Linked DNA regions of Macaca fascicularis. The protein of the gene in region 2 purifies or fractionates together with the protein of the main gene of each other region. This does not show direct contact. Links are inferred from orthologs where the notes say so. Each region holds a gene or a part of one and is shown on either strand. Other genes may lie near its edges.

Region 1 (5,163 bases), on a different chromosome or scaffold from region 2:
ATTCGGGAGGCTGAGGCAGGAGAATCGCTTGAACCTGGGAGGCGGAGGTTGCAGTGAGCTGAGATTGCACCACTGCACTCCGGCGTGGACAACAGAACAAGACTCCATTTTCAAAAAAAAAAAAAAAAAAAAAAAAAAGCCTGGGGAATTGCAAGGCTTGCTGCCTCTGGGTCTCTCAACCCAACCTTCTCAACACACTCAGGGATTGTGAGTTTGGGCCACCCTCCCTTACCTCTATACCTTTGTCCTCATATCACAGCCCCACATAGGCCAGTGTACACGGGGCCCTGTCAATGTGCCCCTGAGTCAGGAATCCTAGCTCTCCCACCAACCCACTGGGTGACCTTAGCTATGTCACTGCTTTGCTCTTGTTCCCCTATCTTGAAAATGGTCCAATAAGACCTGCCCTATATACCTTGTAGGGAGACAAGTTTTGGCTCTCTGCTGGGATGAAGTGCTTCAAGTCCAGTAATCTCTATGGCTAGTGCATCAGTCCTCAGGTCCAAATCTGTCTGCCCTAAAGCCCAGCTCTAGGCTTCTTTTTCCCAGAGTTTGTTACAAATCTGGAATAGGTATTTGCTTTTTCTTGCCCTAGCACCTCTTCCAGGAACCTTCTTATCTCCCTTGGCTAGGTATTCTCCATCTGAGCCCTCAGAATACTTGGCTTACCCTTCTCCCCACCCCTCTTCTATGTTTTTTTCTCCATAGCAATTCTTAACCATCTTATGTACCACATAATTTGCTTATTTATTATGTTTGTCTCCTCCCCACTAGAATGCTAGCTTCACAAAAGCAGAGATTTTTGGTCTTTTCTTATTCATTGCTCAATAAATATTTATTAAGTGAATGAATGGCATGGCGTTTGTACCTTGAGTTATGTATATATTGTTTTCCCTCTCTCTGCTACTAGACTGAGTAGACTGTGAGGTCCTACAGGGCAGGTTCCTGCTAGATCCAGCTCTGTAAAAACTGCCCCTCAAACTTGGTAAATGTTTTCTGAATAAATGTGAACATTGGTGTCTAACCTCTTATCTATGAAGTCCTAGGTTGGCCTCATGTCCTGACTTAGCAGGCTGGGTACCTTTGAGAAGCTTCCTTGCCCCAGCCCTGGCCCCCCACATCAGTGTGCAGCACCTACCGCTCCATCTGCTTCTGGTGCTTCTCCTCCCGGGCCTGTGCCTTCATCTGCTGCACCTCAATGGTGTCAGGCTTGCGACGGCGCATGTATAGTTCATGGTTCCCCATGCACAAGGCCAAGATACGCTTGTTAATCCGCAGCCGGGGAGCATAGAAGACGAAGTCCTGGTGGGAAATCAGCAATCAGAAAGAATTCGGAGGGCCAGGTGAAGGTGATCTTCTGCCTTCTGAAAAGCTAAATCCAAAAGCACTGAAAAGAATGTCTAATCTAACCTCCTGCACTACAGATGGGAAGACTAATTATCAGAGTGGTAAAGTGACTTACCCAGGGTCAGACAGCAGGCAGACCAAAGACTAGAAACCCAGGTTTCTTGACTCTGAAACCCGTGTTCTTCCCACAATTTCTTTCAATCTTTGCTTATGAAAGCATCCTAAATTACTCTTAATCAAGTTGAAGGATTCAAACTTTCTCTGCTAATTAGGGAACATGCTAGGTCTCAGGTGACCTCTTTTGGAAGCCAAATGACCCCTGACAATACGCTGGTGGGTGCAGTATGGGTGACTGGACTGTTTCTACAATCTCCTGAAAGCAAATCCTAGAGCCAGCCCCTTAAATCCTTTTTGGAACAAGGCAGGCTGTAAATACATATATAAATACATAAATCTCCTGATCACTGCTTGTCCTGGTTGTTGTTTTTAAAATGAGCCCTTGATCTCAGCTGGCTTTGTTACTCAACTTTTTCTGATAAAAGTTGAGCACAGTAGCAATAAAAGAAAACACACAAGAAAATCCAGTGAGTTTGAGTTTGCTACTACAAATACCACTGGACCAAAGTCACCAGCTGACGGGCTAACCGCCATCTCCTCTGCCACTGACCACACACTGCTACTGTCTCATATAGCTTGGGGTGCAGTGGAGGGAGCACAGGCTCTCAAAGTCAAATCACCTAGGTACAAATCCCAGTTCTACCATTTTTAGCTGTGTTATCTTGAACAAATCACTCCATCTCTCTAACCTCAGTTTTGTCAACCATAAAATTAGTATGCTACTTACTACCTACCTGACCATGTTGCTGAGGGTTTAAGGAGACAACGTGTAAAGTCCCTAGCAGGGAAAGTTCAGACACCTCAGGGCTGGAGAAGAATGGTTGAGCCTTCATGAAAAGGGTCAGGCGCAGTATTGTCACTGGGCCTTGTTGAACATGAGGTATCGCAGAAAAGGAGATACTCAGCTCAGTTTCCTACCCTACCACAATCACCAGCTGTCTGGTCTTGTTAGCTGCAGGCTACTGAGTGGGTAAGAAGTGTGGCGAGTGTGTTAGAGAAATGAGTGAAGTTAAAGCACTTTTTTGGTCTTGGAATGCTCTGGAGAAAAGTCTGAGAGGGCAGCAGTCAAGTTCTACCAAGAAGTTTGTAGGATCATCTTGGGATTTGTACTTCTCTGGTCACAGCCATTTCTCCATAATAAAAAAAAGAAATCAAGGGCTGGGCATGGTGACTCACACCTGTAATCCCAGCACTTTGGGAGGCCAAGGCAGGCAAATCACCTGAGGTCAGGAGTTCAAGACCAGCCTGGCCAACATGGCGAAGCCTTGTCTCTACTAAAACTACAAAAATTAGCCGGGCACGGTGCCATGCACCTGTAATCCCAGCTACTCGGGAGGCTGAGGTTGTAGTAAGCCAAGATTGTGCCACTGCACTCCAGCCTGGGCGACAGAGCGAGACTCTGTCAAAAAAGGAAGGAAGGGAAGGGAAGGGGAAGGGAGGGAGAGGAGGGGAGGGGAGGGGAAAAGAAAAGAGAAGAGAAGAGAAGAGAAAAGAAAAAAGAAAAGAAAAGAAAAGAAAGGAATCAAATATGTGAACAGTGTCCACTTTTCGGGACCCCAGGGGCTTGGAAATACGAGATGCATTTGGTTTCCACCCCAGAATCTCAGGGCGGCAGAGACAACGGCTAAGAAGTAGTACTTAACACTGCCTGTGGCTCTCCCTCATCCACAGTGAGGGAGACAGGTAGCAGAGTAGAATCAGGTACAGGATGTCTGCTGGCCATTTTTGGCATCAACATCTCCCTCCATTCCCAATCTCTATCTGTGCTTCCTGTTCGTGCATGTGTGCACACACATGCACGCGCACACACACACGCACACATACACACACACACAAACCAGCAAAGGAAGAGAAAAATAGAATAGCATGATTGCTCATTATAGAAGGCCTTGGCAAGTACCCGTCTTGGTCAGAGGGAGGAATCACTCACCGGGGCTTTTTTGTCAATGGGCTTGATGACAAATTTCTTATCATTGAAAGAGATGTTCCTGATTTCACTCCAGGGGAAGCCTATCTTGGGAGTTAGTCTGTAGAAATGGAAACCAATAATATCAGGACAAGGGCAAGACAAGAAGGGCGTAGAGAACTGGTGGCTTGCCCTCACATCACCCCCAAGCTTCTATGTCTCTCTCTCTCTCTCTCTCTTTTTTTTTTTTTTAAATAAATAGAGACGAGGTCTCACTATGTTACCCAGTCTGGTCTTGAACTCTTGGGCTCGAGCGATCCTCCCTCCTCAGCCTCCCAAAGTGCTGGGATTACAGGCATGAGCCACCAAGCTTGGCCAAACAAACACTTCTCTCTGGAGGAGGTAGACTCGGTGCCAGCTCAGCCAGTGTCATCACATGCCACCAGGTCAGTTGCCAGCATTGAGTTCACTAAAGGATCTCCTGATACTACAACTAACATATGATTCCTTGTCTCGAGTTTGTTTTGTTATGTTTTTGTTTGAGGCATGGAACTTGTAACAATTCCTCAAGGGAATCCCCAGCCCTATTTAACTGAGTTTCTTCTATCCAAGCTTACAAAAGTTAGAGAAAACGTAAATAATGAACTCCAAGATTCAGCAGTTATATGGAACAATAATCTATTGATCTCCATTCTCACCAAGAGCACACCAAGTGAAAAATATAAGCAAGTGAGATAAGGCTACAGTGAGAGGATTATAGGCCAAAAGCCATTTAATTATCACAGGAGACTAATCATAATATATCCCGATAAGACAGTCTAGGCCTGCACAAATCAATAAAAACATAATGACTGTCACATATATAATTTTAAGTTTTCTAGTAGCTACATGAAAATAAGTAAAAAGAAATGGATGTAATAAAATTTTAATAAGTTTAATTAGCCCAATATATCTAAAATATTATCATTTGAACATGTAAATAAATATTTTTAAAAATATTAAGACATTTTTGCATTCTGTTTTTCACACTAATCTTCAAAGTCCAGTGTGTAGTTTACACTTACAGCACATCTCAATTCAAAGTAGCCACATTTCAAGTGTTCAATAGCCCCATGTGGCTGGTGGCTACCACAGTTGACAGTGTGAGTCTAGTCAATACAGGATTTAGAGGCCTAAGGAAAGTTGTGAAATCATCTGGGCTGGACTAAATTAGGTAGAAAAAGAACTGAGGTGGGACCCAAGAGCTATGGCCTTGCTCCTTGGTGAAAAGTGAGCCCTAGATGTTAACATAACCTAAATAAACTAAAAGAGATCTGAGATATACCTGTCATTCTGCTCATAGATGTTGAGACCCAGTGCATCCACCCCCAGCCACAGCTCTGAGCCTTTCTTGTTCTTGATGCTGAAGTAGTTCACACCATACATCTCCAGATCTTGAGCAATCTTCAGATATTCCAGGACAGCATCCTCCCTAAATGACACAGTTGGGGGTCACAAAGTGGGGCTTGTGAGTCAGACCCAAGGAGAGAGAAAGCCTGCTTACTCTGTACTTCTGACAAGTATCTTGCTATCGGGAGTGGGAAAGGGCACAAAAGGCAACCAGATGATGGAGAACAGAGCATAGCATGACTTTTGCAAAGCAAAATCTCCTAACAAAAACCTAGGGTCTATGCTCCCAAAGGGAATAAAGATGGGTTGACCCTTGCTGGCCTCTGGCATGTTGGCTGCCACAGAAGCAATTTTCTTTCTCTCATTCATTGTGACAGCCTCTTACACATTCTTAGCAGGGCTCA
Region 2 (5,163 bases):
GGTAACTCTTGCAAAGGAGGCAATGGCTACAAGAAGTAGTACATTTCCTTGTACTAGAAGCTTCAATGGAACACTTGGTGGGATACTGAGTTAGGCATTTCAGGAGGCAAATATGTGTTCCAGAACATAAAGATTGCACAAATGTATCTTTCTGGTGGATGAATTCCTATCAGAGGCACCGTTTTCAGAAGCTAATTACTTAAAGTTGGTCTTTTCATGTCTTAGAATATCTTGACAATAACTATTCTTTGCAATGACATTCCAAGCCTTAAAGTCATTATCTGTAAAATGGAAATATATCTGCCCTGACTATAATAAGAAAATGTGATGTAACATAATGTAAATCTGTAGTAGCAAAACCGAGTAATAGAAATCCTGAATTTAAATCCCAGCTTTACCATTTACTAGGTGTGTGACCTTAGATAAGTTATGTAAATGTACTAAGTCCAAGTCTTCTTTTCTGTAAAATGTGATCTCTATCTCCTAGAGTTGTTGTGAGGATAAAATAAAATAATTCATGTTAAATCTATAGCGCAGTGACAGCCACATGTAAGGTTCAATATAAACATTTTTTCTTCCTTCTTTTACTGTAATAACATGCAACCCTTAATATATACAGGATCAGAATAGAATAATGTTCTAAAAAATGTTTGCTTCCAATTCTTGCACCTTGAACTCACCCCAAATCATGACAGGCTATTTAAACAATTCTTCTGTATTAAGACTGTATTAACAAAAACACTAGGCTTGATTTGTATTGTGTTAAAGCAGTAAGAGACCTTATATCCCATGAGCAAAAAGCCCATCCATGTATTTGTTTGACCTTTACAGCTTTTCCTAGGGATCCAGAGATTCATCTGAGTGGTCCTCTGGAGGCTGGGAAGCCGATCACAGTCAAGTGTTTGGTTGCTGATGTATACCCATTTGACAGGCTGGAGATAGACTTAATGAAAGGAGATCATCTCATGAAGAGTCAGGAATTTCTGGAGGATGCAGACAGGAAGTCCCTGGAAACCAAGAGTTTGGAAGTAACCTTTACTCCTGTCATTGAAGATATTGGGAAAGTTCTTGTTTGCCGAGCTAAATTACACATTGATGAAATGGATTCTGTGCCCACAGAAAGGGAGGCTGTAGAAGAATTGCAAGTCTACAGTAAGTACTTGTGCGATGTGTTCCAGTCTTTGTGGGAATCCCACCTCGGTTGTGTATAGCAATAAACTTAGCAGCAAAGTAAAAAAAAAAAAAAAAACAACAAAAAAAAAAACAACAAAAAAAACCACTTGTATATAGTTTGTATTCCATTTGTATTCATTGAGAACATAATGTTTGCCAATAGTACAATTCAATGAAAAGAACACTGGATTTGGATGGAGAAGACTTGAGCTTAATTTCTGTCTCTATTAACTGTGTAAGTTTGGGTTACTTAATTTCTCTATTTCCCAGGGTATAAAAGGGGAATAGTCATACCACCAGATTGGGTAGTGAGAAACAGGTTCAAATAATAAAACACTTTAATATTGTTTTGTAAACTCTTATAGTATGCCTTGAAATATTAGTTGCACAGGTACAGAAACTTGACAAGGTGAGCAGTTATTCTCTCTCTGTGTGTGTATGTGTGTGTGTATGCATATGCACGTACATACATATGTGCATTGGACAGGGAAAAAATGATGGGGTTTGATTGCCTCCAATCTGCCTGATACTGCCAGGGGATTTACGGGAGTCTTACAGTCCCAGCGTTGTGTAGGAGTGGGCTCACTGTGCTCGGTTCTAGTCTAAAATGCTATGTTTTGCACTGGGCACTACATTTAAAAGGAGTATTGCCAACTATGGCATGTTTAGCTGAAAGAGAATGAGCTGGGCAGGCTTTTAACAATATTTTGAGAAGAATAGTCAAGATAGAGGATATTTTTCCTAAGAGAATACAAAACCTGGAAAAGAGCTCTAATTAAGCATTTGAAAGACAGTTATATGAAAGAGTGATTTACCTTTTTCTGTAACAGCACATGGCTGAATTATGGCCAATATGTTTAAATTAGTATAGAGAGAAGATTTCAGCTCAATAGGGAGAAATGTGCTAATACGTAGAGCTGTCCAAAAATCAAATTGACTCTTTTGGAAAGCAATGGGTTGATTCTCTCAGTAAATGTTGAAGTTGACTGGAATGGGCACTTGGCAAGAATGCTTAAATGGGACTCCTACCCTTTAGTGGGAGGTTAAGCCACATGGTTCTTCTTAATTTCTGACTACCTATAACCGTCTGAAAAACATGAAACATCAACTAAACTCGATCAGTTTAGTCAGAAACTGGATAGATTATTTTGAATGATTCAGCAGTTCTTTATACTAATTTGGCAGAGTAATTTCATCAAATTGGTGGAAGCACATAAATACTGTCTAAGAGAAATACATTCCCTCTGTTGCACTGGGATGATGCTTAGCAATTGCTAATATTATTTTTTTGCCTTTTCAGTATCACCCAAGAATACAGTTATTTCTGTGAATCCATCCACAAGGCTACAAGAAGGTGGCTCTGTGACCATGACCTGTTCCAGTGAGGGTCTACCACCTCCAGAGATTTTCTGGAGTAAGAAATTAGATAATGGGAATCTACAGCACCTTTCTGGGAATGCAACTCTCACCTTAATTGCTATGAGGATGGAAGATTCTGGAATTTATGTGTGTGAAGGAGTTAATTTGATTGGGAAAAACAGAAAAGAGGTGGAATTAATTGTTCAAGGTGAGTAGAATGTGAAAAAGGAATGACAAAGGTGCTGTCACTGGGATTTGAGCAATAGTCACACAGCTTCAATGCTGAAATTGCTTCCCTTAGTTTCACTGATGACCTATCTGGTTGCCATAGCCTTTAGCACAAATATATGTTTATCTTACTAGTACTTCTTGGAAGTCTTCCCTCCCAGAGTTTCCATGGCTCTGCTTTTCTGATTCTTTTTCATCTCAAATCACTTTTTCTCTGCTTCATTCCCTCACTTTTTGTCTTCCTCCTGCCTCTGGTATACTGGTATTTTCAAGTTTACATCCCTGGGTCCCCTTCTCTTCTCACGCTAGACTCCCAAGAATTAGACTACAATATGTTGATTACTCCCAAATTCATGTTCCAATTCCATGCTGTTAATTCCTGTCAGTTCTACCTCAAAATGCTCCCCAGAATATGACCTCTTCTTCACCCCACTTGCCATTGCCTTAGTTTATCATTTCTCACTTGGGCTCTTGCAAGATATTCTTACATAACAGCATTCACTAAACACCAGGTATGTTTCAGATATGCCGTCTTCAAGAAATAACTAAAAAGTAAGTATTTTGTATTCCTTTTACAGATGAGAGAGTGGAATCTCCCAGAGATTAATAATGACGCCACCTATTGATTGTACACCTAATGTTTCCCAGGAATTCTACATTCTGCTTTATATATTTTATCTCATTAATCTTTACCACAACACTACTAAAAACCCAGGCTCAGGATAGTTCATACTTTTCCTAGGGCTAAATAGCTCTTTAGTTGCATTTACTATGATTTTAATACAGTTTAATTTTAATGAAAACCCCTTTGCCTTTTTAATTTTATAGCTGATTATCTTTATATTTCTCTTTAGAAATATTTTTAATTGATAAATCATGATTGTTTACATTTATAGATTACAATGTGATGTTTGATATGGGTATACAATGTAGAATGATTAAGTCAACATATTCATTGCCTCACTTATTCTTTTGTGGTGATACATTTGAAATTCACTTTCTTAGGTATTTTAAAATACACAATATATTTTCATTAACTATAGTCATCATGATGTACAATAGATCTCAACAACTTACTCTCCTGTCTAACTGAACCTTTGTACCCATTGACCAACATCTCCTCGTTCGCTTCCTCTCCTTGCCCCAGCCTCTGGTAACCACCATTCTACTCTCTACTTCTATGACTTTAGAAGTAGATCCCACATGTGAGTGAGATCATGAGGTACTGGTCTCTCTGTGCCTGGCTTGTTTCCCTTAGCATATGTCCTCTGGGTTCATCCCTTTTGTTGCAAATGACAGAATTTCCTCGTTTGTTTTTTAAGGCTGAATAATATTTCACATATTTTGTGGCTAATTATCTTTAAATAGTCTACCTGCTAACATTCTGTCCCTAAAATAATCAATCTTCTGCACTGCTCCCAGGGTTTATTACCTTAAACAAAAAGGTGCTCATTTTCTATAACTTCAATCCATTTCTTAAAACTGTCACACAGAACTCTTTATGATCTGGCCAGAAACTACCTTTGCAGCTTTGTTGATAACTTGGTGCCCCTGCTTATGCTGTTCCTTTTGCCTAAAATGGCCTTTCTCCTTCCTTCATCCGGCAAAGTCTTAGCCATTCTCCAATACGAAGCTCATGTCAGCCTCCCAGTTCCAGATTGTGTCAGACCAAACTACATATTCTTTCCTTCGTGTACACTCAACACTCCTTATAGTCATGTATGCAGTTCTGTTCAGTTCCACACATATTAAGAGCCCTTGTCCAAGAATCCAAGAATTCTACTTGGTACCGAGGGTACAGACATGAAAAAGATATGACAACTGCCCTCGGGGGGCATACAAACTAGGAAGGAAGGACAGGCATATAAATAGATAACTCAAATATCCCTTAGTAAGAGCCAAAACAGTATATCTTTTTAAATGTGCCTTTCCACTAAACTGTAAATTCCTGCTCTGGGCACGATGGTTCAAGCCTATAATCCCAGCACTTTGGGAAGCTTAGGTGGAAGGATTGCTTGAGGCCAGGAGTACAAGACCAGCCTGGGCAACATAGTGAGACCTCTGTTTCTAGTTAATTTTTTAAAAAATCTGTAAACTCCTTAAAGTCAGGAATTCTCTGTGTGTGTGTGTGTGTGTGTGTGTGTGTGTGTGTGTGAATGCTTGGATTCTTAGCACAATACCTAACACATAATAAATGTTCAGTAAATGTTTGCTGAATTAATGAATAGATTATAAACATGGGTAGCATAGTCTTTTGTTTGTTTGTTTTAGGAAATGAGGTCTTGCTATGTTGCCCAGGCTGAACTCAACTCCTGGGCTCAACTGATGCTCCCACCGTAGCTGCCTGAGTAGCTGGGATTATAGGCACATGCCACCCAGCTGTAGTGACACCCAGCTCAACAC

Evidence for each region.
Region 1: the proteins of VCAM1 (region 2) and MSN purify together in Homo sapiens (affinity purification with western blotting; 3 studies listed by BioGRID, with this or other methods). This does not show direct contact. The link is inferred for Macaca fascicularis from reciprocal best matches to the Homo sapiens genes VCAM1 and MSN.

The regions. Positions count from the first base shown.
Region 1 is NC_088395.1:72,028,829-72,033,991, reverse strand, and holds part of MSN (moesin), read right to left. Parts: intron 4,842-5,163; coding exon 4,695-4,841; intron 3,492-4,694; coding exon 3,395-3,491; intron 1,303-3,394; coding exon 1,139-1,302; intron 1-1,138. UniProt on the Homo sapiens protein: Ezrin-radixin-moesin (ERM) family protein that connects the actin cytoskeleton to the plasma membrane and thereby regulates the structure and function of specific domains of the cell cortex.
Region 2 is NC_088375.1:133,682,484-133,687,646, reverse strand, and holds part of VCAM1 (vascular cell adhesion protein 1), read left to right. Parts: intron 1-831; coding exon 832-1,152; intron 1,153-2,473; coding exon 2,474-2,740; intron 2,741-5,163. UniProt on the Homo sapiens protein: Cell adhesion glycoprotein predominantly expressed on the surface of endothelial cells that plays an important role in immune surveillance and inflammation.